7 linked regions of the Ovis aries genome follow. The main gene of each other region encodes a partner of the protein of the gene in region 5 in a complex. Links are inferred from orthologs where the notes say so. Each region holds a gene or a part of one and is shown on either strand. Other genes may lie near its edges. The genes, in order: TMEM237, TMEM216, MKS1, CC2D2A, TMEM231, TMEM67 and B9D1.

Region 1 (4,049 bases), on a different chromosome or scaffold from region 5:
AAGGGTTAAGAATTTGTGCTGGGCAGAGGAGGAGGTAAGAGTAAATTCACTTGAATATGTATCTAGCAGAGGCTAACAGATGAAGCATATCATTTATTTCAAATTTATGGGCTTCCCCAGAGGCTCAGCGGTAAAGAATCTGCCTGCAATGCAGGAAGCACTGCAGGAACTGCAGGTTCAATCCCTGGGTCGGGAAGATGCCCTGGAGGAGGAGATGGCAACCCACTCCAGTACTCTTGCTGGGAAAAGCCCATGGACAGAGGAGACTGGAGGGCTATAGTCTATAGTTTCTCAAAGGGTCGGACACGACTTAGCGACTGAGTAGCAAGAGATACTTTGATCAGAAAGAGACTAAGAGAAAGGAAGAGCAAAGACTTTCTATACAATACCTGAAAGGGTCCAAGAAGAGAAATATCTCCAAAATATGCGCAAACCCTCATTAAGTGCTCCAAGACGCCAGCTCCCCTACACACTCCTGTTTTTTGCAGCATTCAGTTTCACCACTTTATTGTTATACTTCTTGGGTTACTTTAAATGCATCTTTGTTATTGAAATGTTATAATACTATAAAGTATAAATGACATAATGCTATATCCATTAAAAGAAGATTTATGAAGTCATTATAGAAGATTTTATGATGTATTTATACTATTTTTTTCTTTAATACCTTCACTAAGATCCATTCCTGGCCTGTAAGACAAAAAAAGCCAAGATAACCCAACCAGAATGGCCACCACCAGGTTCACCACAATCCATGGCTGAAGAACCTGCTCCTCAATTCCTTCTGCCCTAGAGGTAAAGAAATACTCATCAGAAACGTCTTCATTGTGATCCAAATATCCAGATATATCTATTTTATAAACTTAAAAAAAAATTAGCCATCCTTATCTAGAGGAATAACAAGCATAAAATATAACTTCCCTATGAAATACACTATATATATCATGAGAATTTTAAAACCATAACTTAAAAAGATTTAAAGCATTGTTTACAAAACATTTTCATTAAAAATGCAAGAGTATATAACAATAGTTATCCATTAACCAAAGGAATAGGGGGCTTTTTTGGCCACAATTTTAGAAACAAAAACAAGGCCCTCATTACTATTTATAGGTGAAAACAAGTAAAGGAGTGAAAAGACAAGAATAGCACCATTCCGCCCACTGTTGCTATTATTACGATCAACAATTACTAGTGCTACTATGAATTCTTACCAGAGGCTACCGTTAACAGAAGAAGGTGTGTAAAGGTGGATTCTGTCACTTGTCATTTGTTGACTCAGAGATAATATAAGAGCAGTAAAGTACACTGAGAAAAGACAAATGAATTACTAATAATGTATTTTTAACAACCCAGTTTGTTTGGAATTTATAAATAACTTTAAGGTCAAAATAATCTGAGCTTTGGGAAATGATGACATAAAAAATTTTCATTTGGTCAATTTCAATAGGCTGGATAGTCTTACATTATTTTTCAATACAGGTAGAGAAGGGGCTTTAGATACTCACTATTTTATCATTAGACTGACAAGAATCTAGAAGATCACTTAAGAAATTAAATGATTCAAGGTTCTAAAATTAGTTTTATTAATATTCTCATAATTAGAACAAAATTTACACCAAATTACCAAAAAGGTAAAAAAAAAAGTATTTGTTACTAAAATGCCCTATCAGCCCTATTTGTTTACTGTCAAGTAGAAAACACAAAAGTAATACAGAACAATAAACTTTAAAAAGTTAGATAACCTCTACTGAAAAATAATTCTAAACCTCCACTGAAAAATAATTCTAAACCTCCACTAAAAAATAATTCTATCAAAATTATACCTACCATAGTTTAATTACAAATTCCACTGAATATTGATGTGAATTGTTTTAGGTAGCAATAATATAAAATCATTTTTTAAATAAAATTATACTTTTTTTCTGATTCAAATTTACACAGTTATCAAATTATTTACTTACAGAAAGATGCTAAAGCTCTTGGATCCAGAGCAAGAAAATTTCGGATTGCTACTGACGTTTTAGCAAAGTCAATCCTAGAAAATACAAAAGCCTCTTGTCACAGTGTAGTTGTAAACTTCTTACAAAACTGTACAGAACTGTAGTCTCTAGACAACAGTTTCTTTCTTCTCTATTTTAATGCTACCACATTATTATGAAGCTTTAAGTAGCTACAGTTTATACTTAACACACATGAAAAAATCTTATCTACAAAGGCCACATAAAACATTTAACTAAAGACTATTTTAGTTATCATTCCTTTAGCATTAAGAAGAAACAAACGTGATCAGCCATTTTATTAGATTCTACTTCCCTTTATTACTCATACTATTGAGTGATAAGCTGTTGTTTTCTTAGTGGGTTAAATTGTGTTCCTAGAAAGACATATTGAACTTCTAAACCCTGGAACCTGTGAATGTGACCCTCTTTGGAAACAGAATCTTTACTGATGTAGTCAACTTAAGATGAGGCCATTACAAGGGGCCCTAATCCAGGAAGACTGGTGTCTTTACAAGAAGAGACACAGATCCGTGGACACACAAGTAAGACTGTCATCTGATAACGGAGGGAGAGGCTGGAGTAACGCGTCTACAAGCCAAGGGACAGCAAGGACTGCCAGAAACCACTGGAAGCTAAGGGACAGGCAGGAATAGACTCTCCATGGATCCCTCTAAAATGGAACCAACCTTGCCAACACCTCGGTTTTAGACTTTCAGATTCCAAAACTGTGAGAGAACACATTCCTATTGTTTCAAGCCACCCAGTTTGTGGTACTTTTGTTACAGCAGCCCTAGGAAACTGGGGTACCCAGAGTCTTGACTATACCTGATTCAGTGCACTGGAAGATATTTGGGTCTTTTTTTAAAATTAAGTTTTTATTTTGTATTGCAGTATAGCCAATTAACAACGTTGTGATGGTTTCAGGTGAATAGAGAAGGGACCCAGCCATATATATACATGTATCCATTCTTCCCTAAACCCCCCTCCCATCCAGGCTGCCACATAACACTGTGCAGAGTCCCATGGTCTATACAATAGGTCCCTTTTGGTTATAGATACAGCAATGTGTATGTTTGGGACTTTTTGAGTTGATTATATTTGGATGAAATTTTGGATTTAGAGTTGATGCTGAATGGGTTAAGACTCTGGGGTATGTTTTTGCTCACAATAGTCCCATCTCCTCCCCTCAAAAAGAACAGAAACAGAATGGCTCTTTAAAAAGTCAAAATAATATTAATATCCTGTAATTCTATTTTGAAAATGTCATAGTTTTTCAGGGACACATTTTGCTCAACACTTCCCTCTGAAGAAAGTTAGAGGAGCCTACGGTCACAACAGTCTTACCTGTCAAAGGCTGAAACTGTACTCAGAGCCAAAAGCAAGTAGAGAAGACTCTGGAATGGATATGCTAATGTCTTGTATTGTTGCAGAAGGTTTGAGAGGTCAGAAAGCTCATCTCCTGCCAGAACATAGATCACAACAATGTTCCACACAGCACAGCCAGCCAGGAAGCCATGGGAGAAGACACCAATCATCCTGAATGGAAAACGGTTTTGTTAACATACACCAAAGACTAAAGCAAAAAGTGCATTCTTTGAATCTATTCATGTGTAAGAACAAAGTTCAACATTTCACAAAAGGTAAAAACAAGCTTTTCTTTTCTCTATACTAATAGGCAGATCATTTAACTCTAATTGAATGTTTGAAAAATATATGCACCCACCATTTTAAGCTGTCAATTTTTTAACAGTATTGAACAATCAATACTTAAAAAATTGTGGAACATTTGTCTTTAGAAAAGTCCAACAAAATCAGTCACCGGAAAGCCCGATGCACCGACAGTGCAACATCTCTGGTCGTCCAGGAAGGTTTCATGTCCATTGACACATCAATCTTTTCTGTGGTCTTAATCAACTCTGAACGATCAGCAGCCTGGAATCGCCCTAAGAACACAACACACAATTAAAAACAACTCACAACAGAGAACTCTGAGGATCTTTCTTGTTATTCCACATTTAAGAACCCTCATGTTGAGACTGAAATTTT
Region 2 (4,739 bases), on a different chromosome or scaffold from region 5:
TGAAGAAACAATGGGATCTTTATTTGAGGAAAGATCTTTTTAATTATAAAAATAATATATAATCATTGAACACTTTGTCAATTAATATAGAAAATATGGACTTCCCTGGCAGTCCAGTGGTTGACTCTGTGCTTCCACTGCAGGGAGCATGGGTCCAATCCCTGGTTAGGGAACTAAGAACCCAGGTGCCCCATGGAATGGCCAAAAAAAAGAAAAATATATAGAAAATCATTTTAGAAAATACAGAAATTAAAAGACCTCATGATTCACCCTCTAGAGAAAGCCATTATTACAGAATGAGGCATACTGTTTCAGACATTTTTTATGTGTATAGTCACGTGTTATTATTTTCATTATTGTAAAAGTAGAATCATACTCTGCATACCGTTTGGCAACTTATTTAACCATTTAACATGGTTAGACGTCTTTCCACATTAACTACCTTTTACTCTATCGTAACTCTTTCCACACCTAACTACCTTTTTTAATGGCTATGAACAATTCATTGAACCAATATCATAATTTAACTAGTCCTGTATTGATAGGTGTTAGGTTGTTTCTAAGGTTTTGATGTCAAAAAATACATGGCAATACATCCTCATACAGATATACTTGTGTATCTGTAGAAGTGTGTTTTTTTCAGCCAGTTTTAGAAGGGAAATTGTTAATGTCTAAGAATATACATTTTACCTGGTAAAACCATTAGCAAAAAAGGTTATACTAATTTCTATTCCCAGGGGTGTGGGAATATAAATACTCACATGAGTGTGAGACCATACATACTGTTTCTTGCGGTTATTTGAATACGGGGCATTTGGGAATCTTTTTAATCCGATGGGTGAATATGTTACCGTGTTTTTCCAGTTTGCTTTTTGTTCGTGAGTTTGAGCATTTTATCATGGTTACTGGTCCTTTGTAATTATTCTTATGTGAACTGCCCATTAGGGTCGCTTGCTAATTTTTTTTTTTTTCGCTGTGCAGCATGCAGAATCTTAGTTCCCCAACCACAGATCAAACCCCTACCCCCTGAGTTGGAAGCTTGAAATCTTAACCACTGGACAGCCAGGGAATTCCCTCCCTTGCTCATTTTTAAAACTAGCTTTTTTCTTAGCATTTTATGTGAGCTTTCTTTATCCACTGTGATATGTACTTAAAGTATGTTTTTTTTCTTCAGTGTGTTTAAAGAACATTTTCAGGGATGACATATTCTAACTAAAAAGGGCTTGCTCTGTACTTCCAGGAATACAAAACTTGTCCTAGAGAAATCCTTGTTCAGAAAAATGAAGGGGATCTTAGTGCTGACCTGTGCAGGCATCTCCTGCCCCAGACATGGAGTTACAGCTGAATCTATTCTCCCAAGCAAACCAGTGAGAGGAACAAGGCACTCTTGTAACAGTTAGACAACTGGGAAGAAATTGTCTAATATCATGCCACTGCCCACTTCTGGCCCTGCCGGGCAACAGACAGATACATCTTGACCCAAAATATGAAGCAGCTTGAAACTTCAGAGAGGGAGTAATGGGATATACCACCAGATCCAATCTCTTGATTGGTGAGCCTAGGTTATGTACTTTTCCTTGTTGATCAGGTTACGGATACCAGCTCATCTCAGAAAGAATGGAAATATTCTTGGACAAACACTCACCAAAAAATAGTCGGATTATTTCAATTCCGAGATACAGGAAGAGCATCGCCACATCCAGGACTAGATTGGCTGTTGGGTACGGGAGCAGGAGACCTGCCAACACAGAAGTCAGAGCCTGAAAACAACACAGAGCAGTGCGCAGGAGAGCCCCACACGCGCGAGTCTCATCAGCTGTCCATGAGCTACTTAGTGAGGTGTGGGCAGCATCTGTTAACCTGATGCAGGATGTGTTAACTCCTTGTTGTGGCTGCATCTCTTTTAGAGGCAGGCATGTTGTTATCGGGTTTTACTCATAACTCGGACAGTCTATGAGGACTCCACCCTCCACCATTATCAGCTGTACATGGGTACACAGACCGCTGAATAGCTTCCGAGGCTCATCAACAGGCTGAAAGTGGAGTTCAGCAAGAGGTGATGGGGGAGAGTTGGAATGAAGAATCCCACATTTCCCAAACTCAACAAACTCTTGCCCAGGAGCTTCCTACTAAATCATTCTCAAGAAGTCAGCTGATGAAGAGACTTCTACCTTACAGTGAAGAGGTTCCCTAGAGGGCAGAAAAGAATGAAAAATAGGAAGGTTTTTGGTGGGAGTTGGCTCTGCCCTGAAGTGGGGAAGGGATGTGGGCAAGGGTAGTCAATCCCCAGGCCTTACCTTTATACAGAAATATGAAGAGTTCCAGCAGGAAATAGGTAGCATAATACCACCCATTCAGAAAGAAAAGAATTTCCAGCGGGGTGGAGGACAATCGTTTACCTGAAAATGTGAGCACAGAGAAAAAGAGATGGGCTGGAGGGCAGCTCAACCTCAGTTATTTCAATGGTTTTGTGTCTAACGAAGGAAAAGTGAGGTCGCAGCTAATGGAAAGGGCTACTTGGGGCACTTCTGATTGCTGATGAGGAGAGAGAAAAAGAGAGAGAGTGTGTGTGTAGGGTGTCTGTGTGTGTAGGGTTTCTCTCTGTGTGTAGAGTGTCCCCTAAACTTGACTCCGGGCTTCGGGCGCGAAAGTCAAAGCCCCTTTAAGATCTAACCTCGTCACTATTTGGGAAGGGAAAATGGGGTGCAGAGGCCAGCACTGGCTTGTTTGAAGTCACACTGCAAATTTGTAACTGAGCTGGCCTAGAACAGACCTGGCCAAGAATTTGAGGGAATCTAAGACCCGCACCTCGAGACCTTCAGGAACTCAGGGAGGGTGAAGCTGCTAGACCCTGCTTTGGACAAGCGAGAAGTGATGTCCATAACACCCGAGAATAGAGGGTTTATAAAAGTCGAGCAATGGGAGAGAAAGGAATGGAATATAGAAGCGATCAGGACCAGCGACTCACACACCTCCGTAATCTCACCTCGCGGCGCCATCTCCAGTCCCCATGGAAACTGCATACGCGGCTACCTCTACTTCTGGAGCAACGAGGCGTTGCCGGAAGCGGGGGACAGAGCGGCCCGAGACTCTGGCCTCTCTGCCCGCCCATCACACTCTATGGTTGCCTGGTGCGAAGGCCGTCTTGGTGCGTCCGCCGGTGCGCGCAAATGGCCTTCACTGGGGTTCTGTCTGGAGACCTTCGACAGCACAGGGGCCACCCCCCGAGCTGGAGTCCGTAGGCCCCTAGGGCTGGGAGCAGCTGTTGGGCTTCCCCACCCAAAGTTTACAATGAATCTGCAGAAGTAGCCAGTAGTGGTAATGTGACCACAGGATTGCCAAATAGGCTGTAGCGCCACGATTCTCTTCACTAACGGTCTGACAATACACGAAAAAAGAACAGTGAAAGTGTAGTCGCTCAGTCGTGTCCGACTCTTTGTGATCCTATCGACTGCATATAGCTGCCAAGCTCCTCAGTCCATGGGATTTTCCAGGCAAGAATACTGGAGTGGATTGCCATTTCCTTCTCCAGGGGATCTTCAGGACCCAGGGATCGAACTCAGACCTCCGGCATTGAGGGCAGGCTCTTTATCATCTGAGCCACGAGGGAATCCCAAACAACGGTCTGATAATGCACAAAAGTGCTCTGCAAATGCGGTTTGGCGTTTGGGGTCTTTTGTCTAGCAAGCAGTCTTTTCTGGGAGGGTAATAGGGGATTTAGTGCGTCCGATTTATCAAACAGGTACTTAGAAGACACCAGAATTAATCAGAACTAGAGGCTCCTTTGGCAACCCACTCCAGTATTCTTGCCTGGGAAATCTCATGGACAGAGGAGCCTGGCGGGCTAGACAACCCTGGGATTGCAGAGACTTCACTGAGCGACTGAGCAGGCAGGCAGAGGATCCTCTCGAGGAGCATAAAGAAGACCGGGAAGATGAAACATGATCACCACGTGACCCCTGACTTGCATGGGAGTTGGGAAGACAAAGTACTCTAGGTGGGAACTGAGAGAAGTTTTCAAGAGATGACTGGTGAACTGGGCTTTGAAACCTGATTATGGTTTGGAGCAGTTAGCATGTGTTACGGCCCACAGGGAAGCAGAAAGAAGAGTTTTGATTGGACTGAGGCTGACTTGACTGTCAGCCACTGTCAGGATAGGACAGAAAACATGGCACACTCAAACCAGGTAATTTGAGTAGAGTGACTCAAGTGTACAATTCAGTGGCATTAATTATATTCACAATGTTGGGTAACCATCACCACCATTTTCAAAGCTTTTTTCATCATGGCAATGAGAAACTCTGTAACCATTTAACAGTAACTCTTTTCTCCCCGTCCCTCTGCTGCTGCTGCTGCTAAGTCGCTTCAGTCATGTCCCACTCTGTGCGACCCCATAGACGGCAGCCCACCAGGCTCCCCCCCCCCCCCGCCCCGTTCCTGGGATTCTCCAGGCAAGAACACTGGAGTGGGTTGCCATTTCCTTCTCCAATGCATGAAAGTGAAAAGTGAAAGTGAAGTTGCTCAGTTGTGTACGACTCTTCGCGATCCCATGGACTGCAGCCTACCAGGCTCCTCCATCCATGGGATTTTCCAGGCAAGAGTACTAGAGTGCTAACCTTTGATCTACTTTTTATTTCTATGAATTTGCCTAGTCTATATATTTTAAGTAAGTGCAATCATACAATACTTTTTCTTTTGTGTCTGGCATAATTCCATTCAGCATGTTTTTAAGGTTCATT
Region 3 (4,686 bases), on a different chromosome or scaffold from region 5:
ATGTTCAGTTTTGGCTGAATCCCATGATGAATTCAATCTAGATGGTTCTAGATGCCATCCACCTGTCTGATCTCATGATGCATGGGGGAAATCAAACCTAGTGGCTGCTCCCCGCAATGTGCAGTCTGCAAGCCTAGCATTAGAGACACTGCTGGCTCCCCAGTCCCTCCAGCAGATCGGGCAGGGAGCAGCAGCCACATCACCCACAGGCTGTGCCCACCTACCTACTCCAGCCTGGCTGCCAGAAACACACGGGAATTCCTAGACAGGCTCACTTAACATGCTTCTGAGTTAAAACACGAGGCCAGAAAGCCAGGGGAAACCAAGGTGAAGGGAGCTACAGAGCATGGCTAAGTCTACCTGAGTCTGTCTACTTGGGAAAGAATGGTACCTCCTCCAAATTGGTGTATCTATCAGAGTCAGTGTAGGTAAAGATCCGTCGGTTCTTCCTGCCACCTGAATCTTCCAGCTTCAGAATCTCTTGATGGTACTGATGATCCAAAGGGCTCTGACAGGCGGCTTCATTTTGGTACAGATCTACTTCAAACTGAGGTCACAAAGAAACAGAGTTCCACTGAGAGTATTTTAATTTTGTCACTACAACTGTTTGGTCAAATACCATTTGTCATGATGTTTTATCTAAACTGATGGAGGACAGAAAGGCCAACGAAGGTTAGAGCTACAAGGAACCAGAGCGACAGTCTAACTCAATTCTGCTGTTATAGAACTGACATACCAAGACAGTGATTCTGCTGTTTCGGTATGCGGCCCAGAGGTAAAAAGCATGTTACTCAAGATCATAAAACTGGCTAGTGGCAGGCACTGCATTACACTGATCCCGTACACACAGCAGTGGGAAGCATACACTGTTGTAACCTTTCTGGAAGTCAGTTTGGTGATATGTATCAGGAACCTTTCCCTGCGACCAGGCAGGTGGACGTGGGCAGGGTGCAGGGAGATGGAGCAGACAGGGACACTAGCCCACCTGACTGAAGAGCTTCTCTTGCCACCCAATCACAGCCTCCTCTTCTTCTTCCTCTGGGCGGTGTCCACCTCCAAAGAAAACAGAGTGAGTCAAATGTTTGAGCCCAACTAGCACCACTTCTTGCTCTCTGGTTGGTTATAACCAAAGTCTGTGCTCTTATATTTGCCACAAAACCAGTTGGAGTTCACTGATTATGATGTACTCACTCTAGAGAGGCAGTAGATATGTGCAGAAGCCAAGGTTAAGACCCATGAAGTTTTAATCACCCCTCTAACTTTAATAAAAGAAATCACGTCCTCCAGGAATTATTTAATCTAATTCAGAGTCAAGAGCTGAAATTTAGATATAGGCTAAACAGCTCTTTCTCAATCCCAATTGTCTACATTTGCTATGAACCATGGCATTTTTATCTTCAATATTTCTGAAGCCATAAATCTAGAATCACAAACACTGTAACCTTAAGAGGCCAAGTATTAAGAGAGAAAAGGAAAGACATATAACAGATTTCTTTTTAAGAACCAAATCCAGTATGTACACTCCTAGATGAGTATGCCTTTTCCAAAGATATATGCTTCAAAACCCACCAGCTCACACTTTTACCCAGAAATATTTCTGAACAGAAACAACAAAAGCAAAGAGACTAGTGACCTAACACAAACACACTGTCTTCTCTTTCTTAGTTTTCTGGCTTCTCAGAGAAAGAAAAAGGCTAGAACACAGATAATACTAATATGTACATTTTCTGGGACTTCCCTGGTAGTCCCATGGTTGCTTTGCAGGGAGGATGGGTTCCATCGCTACAGGGAAAATTAAGATTCCACATGCCACACAGCAAGGTTAAAAAAAAAAAGTGCATTTACCATGCAGACCCAAATGTTTAACTTGTTTATAAAAAGTGTTTATATTCTAAGTTTCAAGTTTGGAGTGCTATTTTCTCAGAAAAAAGAAAAAAAAAAAGTCAGAAATGGCATTTGGGTTTAGAGGTAAATTTATAATATACCCAAAGCACGGTATTTGCTATTTCACTACATTTAACCACAGTTCAGATCAGCTTCTTGATGATAGGAATCATTTCTTGAATTCAATTTTCACACAACATAATGTAGTAGTTAAAACTGCCTGGGATCAAATTCTGATTTCAACAGTTAGTAGCCCGGTGACCTTGGACAAGAAACCCAACCTCTCTATACCTCAGACTATAGACCTGGGTCTACTCTGTCTTAAGAAGTAACCTCCGCCCTAGGCCCTTCCCCAGATCCCCAAGGGGCCGCATCACCACCATACACCCACTGGCCGTTGGGTGAGGCCTAAAAGTGGCCAAGTCTATGAGATCCTTCCCCAGCTGGGCAGCAGGCTGGCAATGGAGGTAGTTGCTTGATGTGATTCTTTGCAGGTGGACTCTGCCAGGAAAAGAGAGGCCCAAAATACTGTTACAAGATACACAAGCAGGAGACACAGCAAGGATGGGGAACAAAACACTGAAGAGATTATGGCTACCAGGAGATGTGGCCGGATGCAGGCAACAGAGGGGAGGGCAGGGGGCATGGGGCCCCAGGGAGGAGAGGATGCGAGAGTGTATTGCAGGGAGACAGGGCTCTGAGGAATTTGGGGGGCGGAGAATCCCAGGGACAGGGGAGCCTGGTGGGCTGCCGTCTATGGGGTCGCACAGAGTCGGACACGACTGAAGCGACTTAGCAGCAGCAGCAACAGGGTCCTGAAAGGGTGAGTCTAGGAAGTTGCGAGTGAAGAGGGTTCCAGGTAGTGAGGGAAACGCGAGGAGACCGGGGTGACAGCGGTCGGTACTGCAAAAGGAAATGAGGGCCCCAGCAAAGGAGAAGTGTAATTCAGGCTCCAATCATCTGAGAGCATGAAAGCACGGGGCTCTGGGGTGATGCGACTACCGGAGGCGGAGGTTGCGCACGGGGTCCCGGGATCGGTACACGGCCTCTCCGGTGTCACTGCTCCAGATGGCCTCCGCCATGACAGCTGCGCCGCGCACGACTGCGCCGGAAAGCGCACCGCCCCGGTTCCCCTGGCAACTGAGACGCCGTCCGGAACCTGGAACCCGGTTCCCTAGGCGGCGCGGCAGAAGCCCCGCCCATCGCGGCTGGGGTGGTCCTGCGGGGTTGCCACTGGTCTTTAGTGCGAACAAAGCTCGCTCACACCCAAGGCCGGGGTGGATGCGCTTGACGAATGAGGAAACTAAAGCAGCGCTGTCGGCCCCCATTATGTAGATTCGGACAGAAATGGTCGTGGGCCCCAAATCCGAGTGTCCTGAGTTCTCAGCGACTACTTTTCCCACCACATCGCAGTCTTACACTGAATCCTGGGACACTTTGGCCTCAGAATCGGTTAACGGGGACTCACAGGATGCACCCATTCTTCCCAGAGGAGTGACGGGAGGTGAAGACAGTTACCCAGACGTGAAAGTATTTTCTTGGAAGCAAACAAAAACGTCAGAAGATTTATTAATCCTTGCGTTGGCATTCACTGAACCAGAGAAAAAAGAAACAAGGAAGCTAGCAGTAAGGAAGGAAAAGATGTCATTATTGCACTGGTTTTTCCCCTGCATGTGTTATTTCCCCATTTTTAAGCCACCTTAGATACCGCACTGACCTTGAGAAAGTCAATAAAACGCCATCCTGAAGACGTTCTGCATTGGGCTGCCAAAGGCGGAACACACCTGTAACCTCGAGTCCGGCTCTCTGGCACCTTGGGGATGGCAACAGTTATCAGCCTTTGTCATTTGCTGCTTCTTGTCCCCTGAACCCAATTTGATTATATGGCATTGGGAGCCATCAGCAACAAAGCTGCTCTTGTATAACGCTAAAGACTCACTATAACAATAGCCCTATTTATGTAAGATCTAATAGGGCTCCTTGTTTATATTGTCCCTAATCCTCCTAGAAATCCCTTAAGTAGGTATTTGTTATTCTCATAGCCAATGAAGTTATTGAAGGCCAGAACTTAAAGGTTGAACTGGAGTAAGTGGTAGAGGAGCTGAGACTCCAGCCCAGGCCTGTCTTTTGAAGCATGAACACCTTCCACCTTTCTTCACAATGCCTCACCTACCAATTTATTCTGTAAGAGCACACAATTCCCAACCTGGGAAATGGTAATAATTATTTCAACAGGTGAAACCATGAAGGCAGAATATCAGTTCTTAAGAAAAAAAATAAATCTAATTTTTTCTTTTAAAATTGTGAATAGGCAACATTTTGCCATATGAACCACCAATGATAAAGTTGGAGCCTGAACCAACTTTCATTTTACACCAAATCTAACTTAGAGCAAAGTCAACCTGACATAATTATAAGCAAAGTACTGTATCACATGACATCCAAATATAGGTGATTTGTCTAAGAACCATAATTAAATTGTTTTTATACAGGTAAACTATATTTTTATTCCTTTTATTTACTGATAGAAATCAGGATTCTTAAAACTGGGGTCCATGAGCAGAGTTCAAGGAAGGGGTCTATTGATTCCCTTACCCAGCAGGGAGAGGGAAGGGAGAGTGGCAAGATAGGGGTATGAGATTAGGAGTTACAAACTACTATGTATAAAATAAATAAGAAAGAGATATGTTTTATAACACAGGGAAATATAGCTATGGTTTTACACCTTAAACTGACGATCTAAATTGACTGTGCTATGCTTAGTCACACAGTCGTGTCTGACTCTTTGCAATCCCATGGACT
Region 4 (4,049 bases), on a different chromosome or scaffold from region 5:
CGGGGGACCTAATTCATGGGAGAGGGAGCAGGGAGCCCAATCCGTCTTGGGTCCAAGCCGCATTCTCCTATCCAGTCCCACCCTTCACTGAAACTGAGATCTGCACCCTTCTCTGATTCCCGTGCATTTCCCAAGTAGCTCAGAGCTTCTGAAGGCGACAGATGAGATTAACGGCTTCCCTCAAGACCCTACTCTCCATAGTAACGACTCTTCTATTTTCTAATTTTAGCCCATAAATTTGTGCTTCATTATATCAATGTTTCATGCTGAAGCAGATGGATGGATGGAGAAAGAAACTGATGGATTATTAGGTACAAGTTGATACTGTCTAGATCACTAATTATATCATGTATCTTTGTCATAAAGCAAGTAGATGGTAAATCCCTCAGGCCTGGGGCTTGGGTTTATGCTTGCTTTGTAAATCCACTCCTAGGGTCCACATTTCTGTACAGAGTAGCCACTCATTAATATTTGTCTGTGATAACAATATTTTATAGAAATTCACAATTTAATAAAAGGGCAAACACATATATCATTTCAAAGCTCATAATGGCCATATGAGGTAGAGATTATGGTGATTTTTTAATTAAGGAAACATCTTCACAGCAGTCAAGGGAGATGCCCAAAGCCACAGCTTAGTAGACACCCAGCTCAGATTCTCTGATTTGGGTCCATGTCTTCTCTGTTCGTCACCTATAGCTCTACAGTTCTATAGCTTTATAGGATGATCTTGTATCCTCTTATTCTGTTTGCCTTTAGCAGTGTCAAAATGTTACACATTTCAAATTACACAAGTTTCTGAAGGAGGTGATCCTTGCTACATTTCAGGAGAGCATGAGCAATATAATTCAACATGAAGGAAGGAAATAAAAACAAACAAGGGAAAATAAGACAGGTCTTTCTTAATACACAAGAATTTAAGGAATAAGTACATCTGGATTGTGTGTGGGGGTGTGAGTTGCTAAGCTGTGTCTGACTCTTTGCAACACCATGGACTGTAGCCAGCCTGGCTCCTCTGTCCGTGGAATTCTTCAGGCCAGAATACTGGAGTGGGTTGCCATTTCCTTCTCCAAGGAAGCTTTCTGACCCAGGGATTGAACCCAGGTCTCTTGCATTGCAGGCAGATTCTCTAATGTCTGAGCCACCTGGGAAGCCCAAGTACATATGGATATATCTTAGGAAAACAAGGAAACAACAACAGAAGCTCCAAGACACAGAAACAAAATATTTGTCAGCTAAAAAATTTAGAAAAACAAAATCCTTGAGGAACAGAAAGATTGTAAAAAAGCATAAATTGCATCATTAAACTCATATAAATACAAAACTAAAGCTAAAGAATGTTGGAAATTGTGGTCCTGGACAAGATGTATAAGTTGTAAGTTTTGATAATAATATTGTAATGATAATACAGCAAACAAAAACCATGATATGATGTTTAAGGGACATGGATTGAAAGCTTAGAAGTGATTTCATAGTAAAAAGTCATTTTATGTTGACCCAAATTGGAAACATTAAAAAAGCAATTATTCTGATCTCTAGTGTCACTATGTGTTCATAGATTTATCTGAATTTTTAGTAAGAATGTATCTGATATTAAAGAAATATGTAACCAAAGCCTAGCAATTCTTTTAATTTTAATATAGCTTCTTTCCCCCAGAATATATTTATTTGATACTTTTTTTAAAAGATAGTTAATAAATATAATCATTTATTGTTGGGGGGTGGGGGGGAAATGAAGGCAAGCAACTGCCTATTCAACACCAGCCGGTCAGACCTCACTGAGCCTGTTCTATGTACTTTGATGTATTATCTCAACCATCTGCACAACAATCCTAGTAAGCCGATGCCATTTTGCAAAGGAAGAAACACCAGCAGAGAGAGGAGAGGGAGGTCAAGTGAGCCAAGCAAGAGGCAGGGCCAGGACTCAAGCCAGGCAGTGTGGTAAAAGAGCTGGGAAAAATACCATAGAAAGGATTTGTGAGGATAGAAAATCTCCAGTGATATAATACAGAGACAGTGGGGGAAATAACCCTGCAGTATATGTGAGATGACAGAGAGAAAAGAGAAAATATTGGGGCAGCTAACCTGGACATGGGCATAAAGACACTGACCCAAGCCTTCCTACCTGGGAAGCTTGTTGCTGATGTAAGAAAGGGTTTAAGAAAGGATTCGGTGTGGGCAGGAGGCTCAGTCTTATATAACAGGCTTGCCGTTTCCTTTTTATGTGCAAGACAGTGAATTAGTTAAGAAAAGTCAGAATAGGATGTTGCAAATTCATCACTCCAATCCCTTCAAAAAGCAAAGCACTTTCAAGTAAATTCATGTATTAAAAATGGGAGGGGGAGGTTTACCTTTTTATACAGGGTTTCCAGTTCTGGCTTAATGTCCTGCGCCTGTGTAAACATGGGTGGTCGCGAAGGAACCGGCTTGATGGGGTTTGGCAGTGCCAGGATCCTCCCGTCATCTCCAAACCATCTCCTCCCCTAGGATCAAGCAGAAGGACAGAAAATAGTTTACAAAAATAAACAGCGCTTGTGGGGAAACTCTCTGTCACCATGTATTATGTCATGCACCTTCCCCTGTCCTGTAGATCTTTTATTTTTTAAAAAATTATTTAGTTTAAATTAAAGATAGTTGCTTTACAATAGTGTTTTGGTTTCCGCCACACATCAACATGAGTTTGCCATAGGTATACATGTGTCCCCTCCCTCTTGAACTTCTCTCCCACCTCCCACTCCCTAGACATTTTAAAGTCCCGATTTCTATCAGAAATTGAGTCTTCACTAAGCCAGACACAGAAAGACCAATATCATATGATATTGCTTATATGTGGAATCTAAAACACAGGGTACAAATGAACTTACTACAAAACAGAAATATATAGTCGTGGCTGTAGAAAATAAACTTATGGTTTCCAGGGGATACATACTACTATATATAAAATAAATAACTAACAGGGCTACTGTATAGCATGGGCTTCCCTCATAGCTCAGCTGGTGAAGAAAGTGGAAGTGGAAGTCCCTCAGTCGTGTCTGACTCTTTTCGACCCCGTGGACTGTAGCACCAGGCTCCTCCATCCATGGTATTTCCCAGGCAAGAATACTGGAGTGGCTTGCCATTTCCTTCTCCAGGGGATCTTCCTCACCCAGGGATCGAACCCAGGTCTCCTGCATTGGAGGCAGAGGCTTTAACCTCTGAGCCACCAGCTGGCTCAGATTCCTGGGTCGGGAAGATCCCCTGGAGAAGGAAATGGCAACCCACTCCAGTATTCTTGCCTGGAGAATCCCATGGACAGAGGAGCCAGGTGGGCTACAGTCCATGGGGTCACAAGAGTTAGACATGCCTTAGTGACTAAACCACCGCCACCATATAGCATAGGGAACGCTACTCAGTACTCTGCAATGGCCTATATGGGAAAAGAATTTAAAAAAAAAAAATAGAGTGCCTATATGTATATCCACCTGAAACTAACACAATTGTAAATCGATTGTATTCCAATAAAAGTTTAAAATTTGAGTCTTCGCTAATGCCCCCCAGAATTAAGATATAGTTTTCAGCCCCCTCCTGATAAGTTTAAGAAAAAGCTAAAGGAGTGCCTGGGCTTCCCTGGGGCTCAGCTGGTAAAGAATCTGCCTGCAATGCGGGAGACCTGTGTTCAATCCCTGGGTTGGGAAGATCCCCTGGAGAAGGGAAAGGCTACCTACTCCAGTATTCTGGCCTGGAGAATTTCACGGACTACAGTCCATGGGTCACAAAGAGTCAGACACAACTGAGCGACTTTCACTTTCACTTTCAAAGGAGTGCTTAAAAAAACGTATTTCCTATTAAACAATTTTTTAAATTTTATTTTTAAGTTTTTTGGCTGCACTGGTATCTCTGTTGCTATGCAGGGGCTCTCTCTAGTTGGGGTGAGCAGGGGCTACTCTGTAGCTGCAGTGCTGGGCCTTCTAATTGCGGCAGCTTCCTTGTTGCAGAGCACAGGGTCTAGGCACACAGACTCAGTAGCAGTGGCTCCCAGGCTCTAGAGCGTGGGCTCAGTAGTTGCAGTG
Region 5 (3,473 bases):
TGGTCACCACCTGATTTTGGAACACAAATCTTTTGATTCTTTCAAACGCCCACAGGAAGATAAGTAGGATACTGACATACTGGATCCAGGCAAACTTTATCATTTCCCAGAATCCTGGTAGATAAGTACAAACAGTTAAGGAGTCACAGATGACATTTTCTACATACATGTTACACCAAAGGGTTAGTTTATACAGAAAATCACAAAAAATGTTTCAAATACCCTTAAGATAAAAGAGACAATCAAAGATTATTAAGATATAAATATGTATGATTCTGACCTAGAAGAATTGCTCAAAAGGACAGGAAATGAATATTTTTTTCCCGTATGAACTGCAGACAGACAGAGTCGTTTGTGGGGGACTACCACTGCAGCAATTTCCAGTCTGAGGCTTCCCACATCTGTTCCCTCTTGAGACATCTGAGGAATCCCTCTTTTCTTTTTTGAAACCAAGCTACTGTTGGCCCCTTAACAGAAAGGATATGAAATGACTTCCACAGGGTATCGGATGACTGCATTAACCACAAATGGAGCTTCTGCAGCCCTTCCCACCAGCCAGATGGGGCTGGGGTCAGTCAGGATGGTGGTTACTGCAAAACAATGAGGAGTTAATCCGTGAATGCTCTCTTTGGCAATAAAATACTGAGGGCTGTAACATACTCTGACCTCTCAGGCCAACTCTGCATTTCAGAACACATTCCAAAGAAATAATTCAAAAGGAAAGAGAAATTGAATGTTCAAAGCTGCTCACATAGTATTTGTTAAAACACTGGTCAAAGGATGTTAAAAACAGCTTGTGTTCTACAACTGTCTAAACAAATGAATGGCTAAGCAAAGGAATACTATGCTACCTCTAAAAAGAAAACCAATGAAAACTTTCTAGCGGTGTGGGGGAAATATTAAATTACAAAGTACAGAAGACAAAAACTGTTTCTAAACTGTGACAGGAGCTGTATAAAAACTCTGCATATGGACAATAACTGGAAGGAATTAAGGAAGAAAAGCTGATTTACAGATAAATGTTTCTAAGTCGTGTTCTAAAATTCCTTTATTTTTGGAAACCAGAAAGAAAATACTGGAATTGCGGTCCCGACTCATTAAATGTCTGTGTATCGTATCTATGTCTGGTTGCCAGGCAATGCTTTAGATTCCTTTAGAGGAAACCTCAGACCACCAAGCAGCCAGATATGCTGAGTCAAGCGCACACTCAGGGACGATCTGGCGGTCTTGCCTCTTGGAGGCCCTGGGCACGTCTGCCTTTCAGCCAGAATCGTGGGTACCTTTTCCTCCTTTAGCTGCTGACACGCGGTGAGTCACTCAGGCTCCGTTTCCATATGAACACTATGGAGAGCAGCCTGTCTTCGGCTTTTCTTACAGGTGTGGTGTGGGAAGCAACTCGCCTATCTTTACACATAAACCCACCCAACCAGTGGTGGGACAAATACAGCAGTGAACTGGCACTAACCTGCGGGACCAGAGGAGCAGTGCAGGGGATAGTTAGGGGGTAGGTCTCTGGGTCAGGAGGAAAAGAACAACTTCTGAGCAGCCTGTTCACCTTCCACAGCGGAGCATTCACTGGTCTCGACATTTTGATATGACAAGGGCTCTAATTCTGTTTCTCTCCAATACCCTCATTAACCTGCAAAGTCCTTGAGAAGCAGATGCATGAGCTGTCCACACAACTCACCGTTCCTTTCCTGATAGGCAGCCACAATGCGGGTGAGGTCGTAGTCACTGGCAAACGGACTGGTCCCGTTGATGACAGACACCTGGGCGCGCGGGAGGGCGTGGTGTGAGCACACAAGCGGCTTGCGCTCTTGGTTTTTCTACCCCCCTCCCACCCAGGCTGATCTCAGAGACCACCCTCTTGCGCTTGGGGGCCTACTCCAGCATCGATAATATTTTCTTCAAAAATGAATGAACTCTTTTGAAACAGTTTACATCATTTACTTTCAGTCTTTCTTTCTGGAGGGAAGAAAACAAGGGGTCAATATCCATCTTTCACAGGTTTTAAAGCGACTTATATAATTCCCCTCTCTATTCCAATGGGACAAATGAGTCTTCTCATTTTTTCTAAGAGACTACATTCTCAACCCCTTTGTCTTTTTTCTTGCTTTTGTCTGGATGCTCCCTAACTGATCCCTTTGAAATGCAGAAATGGAAAGATAAAGTGCACATAGTAATAAGCACATAATCCTTTGAAGACAAGAAAGAGCTGTTCTCTAGCATCACATTCCTGACATAATCTAACATGGGCTTCCCTCGTAGCTCAATGGTAAAGAATCCGTCTGCAATGTGCGCAGACCTGGGTTTGATCCCTGGATCGGGAAGATCCCCTGGAGGAGGGAATGGCAACCCACTCCAGTTATTCTTGCCTGGAGATTCCCCATGGACAGAGGAGCCTGGTGGGCTACAGTCCATGGGGTCGGAAAGAGTGGACAAGACTGAGCGACTAAGCACAGCACAGCATATTAAATTTATATTTTATAGTCCCTCCTGTTAAAAAAAAATAGTATGTTGATAATGGTTATGGTTATGGTGACCATGAATCCCAGTTTATCTGGGACAGTCCTGGTTATAATAACTGATAACATTTCCTATTAACTTTCAAAAGTAGCCTAAATTATATGGGCCTCCTTGTGATAACATAAAGGTTTGTGATGAGGGATGGGATGCATGAGTCCTGGTCTCAGACCGTTCATGGCTCTGCGGGCTTTGGGAAAATTAATCAATCCCTGTAGCCTCCAGGTTCCTCATGTGTGAAATGAGAGTTCATTCTCTCATCAATTCTGAGTGCTTACTATGGGCAGGCACTGTTTTAAGCACTGGAGCGAGAGAACACAGAAGATAGCAGGGCTTTCACCACTGAAAGTGAAAGTCGTGTCTGACTCTTTGGATCCCATGGACTATACAGTCCATGGAATTCTCCAGGCCAGAGTACTAGAGTGGGTAGCCATTCCCTTCTCCGTGAGATCTTCCCAACCCAAGGATCGAACCCAGGTCTCCTGCATTGCAGGCGGATTCTTTACAGCTGAGCCACAAGGGAAGCCCCTTTACCAATGAGGGAGACGGCAAATGAACAAACTGGAAACCTCCCTTTCATATTTCAGGTGAAGGTAAGCAGAGTAAACCTGGGTGAGCGATGATGGAGGGTCAGGTGGATGGTCTTTAGAAGGCGTGTCGAGCAAGGACTGTGCTCAGGAGCTTTGACCAGGGGCCAGACGGAGCAGTAGGGTGAGCGATGTGGGTACTTGGTAGAGGAAAAGGTAAGCGCAAAAGCCCTGAGGCAGGAGCTGCTTCGTAGGTTTGAGGAACAGCAAAATGGACCCCGGGGCTGGAAAGGAGCAAGGGGGACAGTGACAGGACAAGCCGCTGGAGAGCGGAGAACGGCAACAGAAGGCGTCTCATGAGGCTGCTGCGATGACTGGATGAGACGATGTAGTTAAACCTCTTAACTCGGGGCTGGCCTGTTA
Region 6 (4,597 bases), on a different chromosome or scaffold from region 5:
GTGTGTGTGTGTGCTTTGTCATATCTGATTCTCCCATCCCTCCATCCATGGGATTTTCCAGGCAAGAATACTGGAGAGGGTTTCCATTTCTTACTCCAGGGGATCCTCCCAACCCAGGGATAGAACCTGCATCTCCGGTGTCTCCTGTATTGTAGGTGAGTTCTTTACCACTTGAGCCATCAGTGAAGCCCCCCAAGCTTAGTAACATCACTGAAAAATTAGTCTACTTTGGCACCATTTCATATTAGTACCTTTTGCTCATCATAATTCAGCTAGGGTCAATATTTCCTAAAACTTCAAGTATGAAAATGATCATCAAACCTATAAGTACTAGTCATAAACCAGGACAAATGGTAAATATTAAATTCCCAGATTAAATTTTTTTAAAATACAATAATGAGAAGAGGTAATATTGCATTTTGAAAAAAAATGAGAAGAAATATTACTATGAAAGTTAGAATTGCCACACTAAGACTCTTTATTATTCAAAATGATTGAAGATACATTTCTGTTAATCAAGAATCATCATATATAGTAACTATCAATACATTAATTTTCCAAAAATTATGATATAATGAAATGATTAATAAAACAGCATCAGGTATTATTTATTTAGTGATGAAATTGGCATTTGATGAACTTATCACTCAGGTATCATTATGAACATGAATCATTATGTAAAACTGTTGACACAGTAAGTCTAAGACACTGAACTCACGCTATATATCATTCATTCATCTATTTTCCTTTATAAAGTAGTTTCTCTATGAAATAGAAATAAACAAAATATGGCTTTTTTTTTTAATTTCAGATTTTAAAAATACCTTTTTATTTTTCTCCAAGTATGCAAAATTTCACCGATCTCCCAAAATTTACTCTAGTAAAAACAAAGCTGGCTTAATAATTTTAAAGTCTGTGGGAAAATATTAGAGTACAGCATTAAATTACAGTTTAAAAAATGATATTTGCTATTTTTTACAGTAAGATTTTTTTAAAAAATAAATACTCCATACCATGTGTTCTGGGCACTTTTTACAAGTAATATCACGTCCTCCATTATTAGAAATCATCTGAAATCCTGGTGAACACACACATGAAGTTCCTAAAAAGAAGAGCCAATTTTGACCTTGATAAAATTCCAAGATAGGAAAATTTTAATAACTCTTAAGATCTTGAGAAGCAGGAGCTAAGAGCAAGACAGTGGAGCCAGTACTGCCTGGGTTCTGACCTTGATTCTGCTGCTTAGTTTTGTGACCCTGAGCAAGGAACTGTTCTGTGCCTTGGCTTCCAATTAGGAACAGTACGTACCTTGTGGGGTTAATATAAGTACTAAATTAGTCATATTATTAGCATATTAAGGTGTTATATTTATATCTTACAATGTGTCTGGCATACACTAGGTATTGTGTTTGCTATAATTTTAAGTGCAAGCATAAATAAATTATTAAATTATAAATATTAAACTAATAACCAAACTACTGACTAATCGCTATGGGAGATTTTACATGTCTATTTCACCCAACCATACACATATACTCACTGAATTCAAATTCTGTCAAAACAAAATCTTATTAGGAAAGTTACCAAGATAAATCACTGTTTTCCTCTGTTTGGAAAGATTAAAGTAAACTTTATAAGATAATCACTATTCAATTTGCTGGCTAGGTAAGGACAGCATTCTCTAAGAAGGCATTAAGTGGATACTTAATAGGAATCCATGTAGTAGAATGCTTATGATAACAGGGTGCATGACTATGAACCTTACATTTTATAGAATGAGTCTGGGAAATGCTTTCTTCTTACTTCCTCACCTGAGAAGCCTGACTTGTCCTACACAATGACTTAAAGACAAACCAAATTTCAAGATGGCAGAAAGTTAATACCATGGGTGACCAAACTGAGATTAAAAACATCCTAGACTTTAGAATACGGGGAACGTCTTATCCTGAGCAGTTTCAAAGGACAACTAGGATGAATGATGAACATCTCAAGAAAAAAAAATTAATATAAAGATACTTTGGAGGGAATTAGTAATATTCAACAATGAAAGGGCTAAGTACTAAGGAAATCTATACTATTATGGACATTTTGTATAGTGGAAATACAGAGGGCAGAGGGCAAAGAGATACAGGAGTTCTTCCTGTCTCCAATTTACAGGACAAAGAAGACGTGACGACCTCATCTGGACTTCCATTTTTTAATCCATAAATTGAGAAGGCTGGACCATAAATGGTTAAGGTCCCTTCCAGCTCTACATTTCTAGATTTGAGATTAAAAACAAAACAAAACAAAACAAAAACAAAACTACCAAAGTTTACGAGCGCTTATTTGCATTCCTTCCCAAACAGGTCCTGTCACCTGCTCTTAGCACCTCAGACAGTCCTGGTTGTCCGACTCTCTGCGACCCCAAAGATTACTTCTCCTTTTCGCTTTCTTAGGTAGTCAGCTTTCCAGGGGCCTCCCTAAGGGCCCGCTGATTGAATGACTGGAGCCAAGAAATTCATTACGAGGCCTAGCGGGTAGCCGACTCAAGGTTTCCCCAACCTCCTCCGTTGTGCGTTAAAGCCTCAATCCTTCAAGAAGACCCTCCTTTCAGGCGTTGGCAGTTAACCTTTCTGAAACATTCTTTCCGCAGGAAAAAAGAAAAAAAAAAAAGATGTTTCAGCAACGCCGGGATCTGGGCACAGCATCAAGGCGGGGCCGGGATCTGGGCACAGCATCAAGGCGGGGCTGCTCATTTGGCCAGGGCCCGTCCCGAGCCGTCTCACCTCGGGCATCCTGCCTCTGATTGGCGCCACACGCCACACAGGAGAGCGCCGAGATATCGAAGTACTGGTTGTGGCCGCACGTCTCTGGCTGCCGGAAAGGGAAAAAGAAGGTCTGAGCTTGTGAGACGCGAGGGAGGACCAGCAAGAGGAACAGAGTCACACTCTCAGCCGACAGAGTGGACCGAGCGGCCATCGCCACTACACGCCCGCGGCCTCCCGTCGCCATGGTGCAGACGCCGGCGGCCAGGCCGTCTCCCGCGGCCCGTCAGCCTCCGCGGCGACTCTGCAGAGCTGATTGGATCGCGGCGCCCCGGTGTTCCGGAAATGTCGGCCTGCTTCTCCTGGTTGCTAGGTTACCAAAAGCTGCGGGAATCTGAAGATCTGGGAAAGGACGGGTTCGGTTCAGTTTAGTTCTGTCGCTCAGTCGTGTCCGACTCTTTGCGATCCCATGGACTGCAGCACGCCAGGCCTCCCTGTCCATCACCAACTCCCGGAGTTTACCCAAACTCATGTCCATTGAGTCGGTGATGCTATCCAACCATCTCATCCTCTGTCGTCCCCTTCTCCCGCCTTCAATCATTCCCAGCATCAGGGTTTTTTCCAGTGAGTCAGTTCTTCACATCTGGTGGCCAAAGTACTGGAGCTTCTGCTTCAGCATCAGCCCTTCCATTGAATATTCAGGACTGATTTCCTTTAGGATGGACTGGTTGGATCTCCTTGCAGTCCAAGGGGCTCTCAAGAGTCTTCTCCAACACCGCAATTCAAAAGCATCAGTTAGAGGCAAGCTAACCCTGTAGCCTGGCAGGCACGACCAGACTTCAGATTCTATGAAGCGACCCGTTTCCGGGACGGGAAATCAATTTCAGAAGTCGCGAAATAGGTAACCGCAGCCAAGAAAATATCTGATTTTATCACACAAATTAAAAGTATTGTTTCATTAAGTCGTTAAATGATATTTACAATAAAACTTATGGTCATTTTCATGTTAAAGGACACACCCAATAATGTATTTGTCAAGATACACTTGTCCAAAAAGTAGGGGAAAAAACCACAGATTTGAAATATGTAATGTTGGACGATTGGCTCAAGCACTGAAAAAGAGGGCTTCCCTGGTGGCTTGGTAAAGAATCTGCGTGCAATGCAGGAGACCAGGGTTCAATCCCTGGATCAGGAAGATCCCCTGTAGAAGGAAATGAAACCCGCTCCAGTACTCTTGCCCGGAAAATCCCGTGGATGGAGGAGCCTGGTGGGCTACACTCCATGGGATTGCAAAGAGTGGGACACGAGTGAGTGACTTTCACTTCACTGAAAAAAGATCTTTCCTGACAGACCTTTTTTGTGTGTTTCTATGTTCTTTGTTTTGAGCATAGAAATCATGTTCATAAAATGAGATCTTTAGTCCAGTTGTAAATAAAGAAGGAATCTATTGTTTAAGTCAAATATACACATGCATGATTGCTGTCTTTCAAAATGGGCACTCTTAGAGGCTGTTGGGCCCAAAACATTTTAGAATTACCTTCAAAGCCAGTTTCTGGGTCATAAAAGAAAAAATTGTTTCTTAATATTTAAATTTCATTTCTGCTTTTGTTGTATTCTATTTGTTTTATTGTTTTATTTTGTCCTTCCTCCCCAATAAAACTGGCATATTTTGAAACCACCTTATTCATCAGTATACCTTGAAATGACTTTATTACTATTAAGGAGAATACACACACACACACACACACACACACACACACAATATTCTCAGTACCTGTGGGAAAATATGTCTAAAAATTTAGATAAATTTATTAACCATATTTAGGCTTAGTATTTGTCATGTGACCATC
Region 7 (4,627 bases), on a different chromosome or scaffold from region 5:
CAGCTCAGCCAAGCCCACGCGTGGAAAGCACGCACAACTCTGTGGAGCAAGCTAGGCTCTGCACGCAGCTAACATTCATTAAGTGAGAGTGATCACAGACGACCAGGTACAGTGGACAACAAACCCTGCAGATATTGGCAAGGAGAACTTTGGGAGATCAGAGGTAGGATGAGGGCTCGGTGCCCATGGCAGAGAGAAGGGCCTACCCCTGGCTCAGGGCAGGGTGTTGGAGGAGGAGCAGGGGGGTCGGGACTGGCGGGAGCACAGTGGTGATGGACGGGGGAGAGCTGTTGAGGGGCCAGACTGCTGAGCCCCAGACACCAGGCTCTGACCTTCGCAGGCAGTCACTGCCCAAGGTTTCACGCTGGGCTTCACCGACTTCCTCAGAACCTCGGAAAGGTCAAGTGCACACAGTGGGAAGGAGGGGAAAACAGCCAGGTGTCTGATAGCACCTGACAAGGCTGGTAGAGGGCCCCATGGATGGGCAGGACGAGGCCTGCAGACTCACAGCCGTAAGGGTTGGTGCTCTTAAAGGTGACATCGATGGGGAAGTTCCACACCAGCGCCCGCCTCGCATCTTGGCTCTTGGAGGTGATCTGTGAGATGCCCTCCTCCAGCCCCTGCAAGGACAATGACAGTGACGGCCAGTGTCCCAGCTCCAGGCTGCCATGCCCACCCACCCTACCTCTGAGGTGGCAGCTGAGAGCTGTTTTCATCACCATCTTCTGCCAAACAAAGGGACCTAAGATGTGACAGAGTGGCTCCCAGGTCTTTGAGGGTTTCTATCCATTAGGACCTGAAACCTTGAGGCCCCTCCCCTCTCCCGGTGCCCAAGCTCCACCTGCACCTCCTGCGGAATAGGGTATGGTCCAGCAGGCTGTTGCCCTCTCCCCTGTCTTTCTGCCTGGCTAGTTTATTCTACAGCCTTCTACTTGGCCCATCCCCCTGCTTCCTTCAGCTCTACGCTCAGTTACCATCTTTTTTTTTTTTTTTTTAAACTGTCTTAAGGAGGCCTTTTCTGGCCTCTTCATCCCTCCCCTTCCTGCCTTCACTTTCCCCTCAGCACCGCTACTAGCCAACAGCCTGGAGCGTGAGTCTGTCTCCCTCTCAGGCAAGTGGCCCCAGCAGAGCTGGGCTGGTCTGGCTTTGTTCGCTGCAGGGCAGGGCCCAGGAGCGACCACAGTCTTAGGGGTGGATCAGGGATCTCTGCATTCTCTGCTCCGGCCTCACTGGGAACAAACTCACGTGTGTGCCACCCCTGAACTCTTAACTGGTTCTGAATTGGGAGGGGAAAGGGTGCAATGGAGCCTTCAGAAACCCCTTCAGTCACAAAAGCTGTGAGTCTGGGAGGCTGTAGGGTCCAGCTTACCGCTGTGGGGGCCCAGTCCTGGCCATACACGAAACAGTACTTGCAGTAGAGGTCGTCGTACTCAGGAAACTGTGGAAATAAGCACACACAGCTTCTGCTCACAGGGACTCATGCTGTGACCACCTGTTAGCTAGGCAGGTACAGCCACCAGCAACTCTGAACATGAGGCACCTAGGGGGCGGGGGCTGAGAGAGCAGGGTGCATGGATACGGAGTTCATTGGAAGGTCTGGTCTCAAGATGTGGGATAGTCCAGGGACAGTGCTGCCCCCAGGCTTTTGCTCAGGCTCTGACATCTGTATGACGTGCCCTTCTAATGAGAAGTGAAGGAATGCCTTCACTGGGAGTACTCCTGCTCACCCTTCAAAACTGACACTTTGGGGAGCCTGCCGACTTCCAGGTTGTTGGAGCCACATCCCAGCTTCCACAGCCCCTGGTGCTCCATCACAGCACTGACCATGTTTATTCTCTCAGCTCCATTAGACTGTGAACAAGGGACAGGTATGTGGGCTTTCTGTGTCCCTAGCACCTGGCACAGGGTGGGCACTAAGGAGTGATGCTGAAGTGAAAGGTCTAGAAGACAGGTGCTCCCAGGACACAAAGCTTGGTGGGAGCCAATGGCCTGCAGAGTGGCCTCGAGCAGAGGGGAGGAAGAGTGGGGATGAGGGGCTGCTGAGAACACAGGCACACTGACCCAGCCCAGCTGAGGCCCCTGCTGGGATAAAGCAGAACAGGAGAGGCTGGCCTTAGGCACCAGGCCAAGGGGAGGTGGACAGGGTGGGGGCATGGGGCAGTGACCCTGATGAAACAGGAAGGCGGGAGATGCCCGCTAAGAGATCCCACGGAGCTTTACCTAGACCACCTTGGTTAGTACTCACAATATAATCATAATATTTTTAAAACAGCCTGGAAAGGCAAGTCCAGCAAAGCTTTGACATCAGACAAGGTTTGAAATTCGTTTTGCCACTTCCTTTGGGCAACTTCCCATCTGTAAAATGGGGGTGCAAGTAATACCTACTTCAAATGGTTGTTGTGAGGACTGGCTGAGCGGGGCTGGGCATGAAGACTGTCATATGTCATGTCTTCCAGTAGTAACAAACGGTTCTTAGGACATGCAGGGGACTGGAAAGCACTGTCCCCTTCCGTCGGACAGACACAGCCTCCGGGTCAGGACAGCTGCCACCATCGCTGTGTCAGACCAACCCGCGCCGGAGGGAGGAGCTGAGGGTCGCGGGGTGGATGGAGGCCCCTGCCCGAATCTTCACGTGGGCTCGGCCAACTGTGGCCTCGGCCTGGCTCAACGCTCCAGGCCTTTTTCCCCACCGCACTTCGTGGCGGAGGGTCCGCGCGATCTCTCGCCAAGCCTGTCACGCTAGCTCCCTCCCCCGAGGTTCGACCCTGGAGGACTCACGGCCGCTCACCTGGGCGCTCTCCACCTGCCCGTTGACCATGAGCAGGAACACGCTGGGGCCCGCGGCCGCCATAGCCGGGCCGCGCGGTTACTAGGAGGCGCCGGGTTGCCCTGGAGACGACGGCGTGGCGCACGGGACAAGTTTCATGGAAGCGGGAGCTTCGGGAAAACGCGCACAAGGCGCGGCGCGCAAGCGCAGTCGGAGCGGCGCTGTGCGGTGGGAGGCGGGCCTCAGCCGCCTGGTCCGTCTGAGGGGCGGTCCGCCCGAGGAACCCCGCGTGAATGTAGCTGGTGGTGCGGGACCTAGGCCACCGCCCGGGAATGTGTGTCCGCTCTGACCACCGCGCTGCCGGTTGGAGTGTGTGACTGGAGCCCGAGGCCGCCAAGGGGCGGGGTCCGGCCGCGCTTCCGAGAGTCCCCGTGGGGCCAGCAGCTCCCTGCCTCGGGTCTACAGATGCTCCCTCGTGCCTTTGAGACCCTCGCCTCCCAAAAGTTTATTAGACCAACCGAGAAGGGACCTGGAAGGTCCTTAAGCCCAAGACTGCAGGTCTCCGCGTGACGCGGGAAAACGGGCCTCTGAGTGGCCGCCCCGGCACCTTGCCGGCGGGGAGGGGCGAGCCCGCGGGGCTCGGCCGTCCGCCTGCTCTCAGCGCTCCCCACTGTTCGCTTTTGCACATCGATTACTGTGATAGCTCCAGCCAGTGCCGCCTCTCCCCTGAGCCCTACGCCACGAACACCGGGTCTGGGCCACCCCCGTGTCCCGGTTGCCTGAGCACTGGTGGCAGCTAGTGGAGTGGATGGATAATTGAGTACGTCTGCTGTACTAGCTGCCAACTCTGCTAAGTCGCTTCAGTCGTGTCCGACTCTGTGCGACCCCATAGACGGCAGCCCATCAGGCTCCCCCGTCCCTGGGATTCTCCAGGCAAGAACACTGGAGTGGGTTGCCATTTCCTTCTCCAATGCATGAAAGTGAAAAGTGAAAGTGAAGTCGCTCAATCGTGTCTGACTGGTAGCGACCCCATGGACTGCAGCCTACCAGGCTACCCCGTCCATGGGATTTTCCAGGCAAGAGTACTGGAGTGTGAATACGTCTCCGTTGCTCATTATCAAAGCTATGGTTTTTCCAGTAGTCATGTATGGAGGATGTGAGAGTTGGATCATAAAGAAGGCTGAGTGCTAAAGAATTGATGCTTTTGAAGTATGGTGTTGGAAAAGACTCTTGAGAGTGCCTCGGACAACAAAGAGATCCAACTAGTCCATCCTAAAGGAAATCAGTCCTGAATATTCCTGGAAGGAATGATGCTGAAGCTGAAACTCTGATACTTTGACCACCTGATGTGAAGAACTGACTCATTGAAAAAGACCCTGATGCTGAGAAAGACTGAAGGCGGGAGAAGAAGGGGACAAAACAGGATGAGATGGTTGGATGGCATCAGTGGCACAATGGACATGAGTTTGAGCAAGCTCCAAGAATTGGTGATGCACAGGGAGGCCTGGCATGCTGCAGTCCATGGGGTCACAAAGAGCCCGACACGACTGAGCAACTGAACAACAGGCGTTGCGCAAAAGAGGAAGGAGATTCAGAGCAAGGTGACTGGGACTCAGTCAGAGGTATAGGTACAGAGATGAGCGAGGACTCCATCAGCTTGGGACCTTTGCTGCTGCTTCCCTTCCTGGGCTTGGGCCAGCGCCAAGGGCGTTTCTTGACCAAGGTATCAAAGGTGGCATTAGAAACCTTATCTGGGATTCAGAGAATGAAGGGATGGACAGGTGTGTAGACATCAGGGAGGCCGTGCCCTCAGTAGGGTGCCCAGGTCATCACACCCTGCAGCTGGCTCGATAGCAGACC

Evidence for each region.
Region 1: TMEM231 (region 5) and TMEM237 share a complex: the UniProt entries of both Homo sapiens proteins name them as parts of the tectonic-like complex. The link is inferred for Ovis aries from reciprocal best matches to the Homo sapiens genes TMEM231 and TMEM237.
Region 2: TMEM231 (region 5) and TMEM216 share a complex: the UniProt entries of both Homo sapiens proteins name them as parts of the tectonic-like complex. The link is inferred for Ovis aries from reciprocal best matches to the Homo sapiens genes TMEM231 and TMEM216.
Region 3: TMEM231 (region 5) and MKS1 share a complex: the UniProt entries of both Homo sapiens proteins name them as parts of the tectonic-like complex. The link is inferred for Ovis aries from reciprocal best matches to the Homo sapiens genes TMEM231 and MKS1.
Region 4: TMEM231 (region 5) and CC2D2A share a complex: the UniProt entries of both Homo sapiens proteins name them as parts of the tectonic-like complex. The link is inferred for Ovis aries from reciprocal best matches to the Homo sapiens genes TMEM231 and CC2D2A.
Region 6: TMEM231 (region 5) and TMEM67 share a complex: the UniProt entries of both Homo sapiens proteins name them as parts of the tectonic-like complex. The link is inferred for Ovis aries from reciprocal best matches to the Homo sapiens genes TMEM231 and TMEM67.
Region 7: TMEM231 (region 5) and B9D1 share a complex: the UniProt entries of both Homo sapiens proteins name them as parts of the tectonic-like complex. The link is inferred for Ovis aries from reciprocal best matches to the Homo sapiens genes TMEM231 and B9D1.

What each region holds. Positions count from the first base shown.
Region 1 is NC_056055.1:203,945,144-203,949,192, forward strand, and holds part of TMEM237 (transmembrane protein 237), read right to left. Parts: intron 3,947-4,049; coding exon 3,823-3,946; intron 3,540-3,822; coding exon 3,348-3,539; intron 2,039-3,347; coding exon 1,965-2,038; intron 1,309-1,964; coding exon 1,215-1,308; intron 790-1,214; coding exon 668-789; intron 1-667. UniProt on the Homo sapiens protein: Component of the transition zone in primary cilia. Required for ciliogenesis.
Region 2 is NC_056074.1:36,444,567-36,449,305, reverse strand, and holds the start of TMEM216 (transmembrane protein 216), read right to left. Parts: upstream 3,052-4,739; 5' UTR 3,024-3,051; coding exon 2,987-3,023; exon of another isoform or gene 2,973-2,986; intron 2,400-2,972; coding exon 2,298-2,399; intron 2,191-2,297; exon of another isoform or gene 2,172-2,190; intron 2,165-2,171; exon of another isoform or gene 2,003-2,164; intron 1,997-2,002; exon of another isoform or gene 1,861-1,996; intron 1,739-1,860; coding exon 1,646-1,738; intron 1-1,645. UniProt on the Homo sapiens protein: Part of the tectonic-like complex which is required for tissue-specific ciliogenesis and may regulate ciliary membrane composition.
Region 3 is NC_056064.1:8,840,065-8,844,750, forward strand, and holds the start of MKS1 (tectonic-like complex member MKS1), read right to left. Parts: upstream 2,989-4,686; 5' UTR 2,967-2,988; coding exon 2,887-2,966; intron 2,386-2,886; coding exon 2,276-2,385; intron 1,054-2,275; coding exon 986-1,053; intron 548-985; coding exon 392-547; intron 1-391. UniProt on the Homo sapiens protein: Component of the tectonic-like complex, a complex localized at the transition zone of primary cilia and acting as a barrier that prevents diffusion of transmembrane proteins between the cilia and plasma membranes.
Region 4 is NC_056059.1:111,348,613-111,352,661, reverse strand, and holds part of CC2D2A (coiled-coil and C2 domain-containing protein 2A), read right to left. Parts: intron 2,484-4,049; coding exon 2,352-2,483; intron 1-2,351. UniProt on the Homo sapiens protein: Component of the tectonic-like complex, a complex localized at the transition zone of primary cilia and acting as a barrier that prevents diffusion of transmembrane proteins between the cilia and plasma membranes.
Region 5 is NC_056067.1:2,329,008-2,332,480, forward strand, and holds part of TMEM231 (transmembrane protein 231), read right to left. Parts: intron 1,770-3,473; coding exon 1,688-1,769; intron 591-1,687; coding exon 485-590; intron 126-484; coding exon 1-125. UniProt on the Homo sapiens protein: Transmembrane component of the tectonic-like complex, a complex localized at the transition zone of primary cilia and acting as a barrier that prevents diffusion of transmembrane proteins between the cilia and plasma membranes.
Region 6 is NC_056062.1:83,418,966-83,423,562, forward strand, and holds the start of TMEM67 (meckelin), read right to left. Parts: upstream 3,010-4,597; 5' UTR 2,995-3,009; coding exon 2,769-2,994; intron 2,564-2,768; exon of another isoform or gene 2,545-2,563; intron 1,103-2,544; coding exon 1,014-1,102; intron 1-1,013. UniProt on the Homo sapiens protein: Required for ciliary structure and function. Part of the tectonic-like complex which is required for tissue-specific ciliogenesis and may regulate ciliary membrane composition.
Region 7 is NC_056064.1:33,859,739-33,864,365, reverse strand, and holds the start of B9D1 (B9 domain-containing protein 1), read right to left. Parts: upstream 2,872-4,627; 5' UTR 2,852-2,871; coding exon 2,789-2,851; intron 1,439-2,788; coding exon 1,370-1,438; intron 621-1,369; coding exon 509-620; intron 1-508. UniProt on the Homo sapiens protein: Component of the tectonic-like complex, a complex localized at the transition zone of primary cilia and acting as a barrier that prevents diffusion of transmembrane proteins between the cilia and plasma membranes.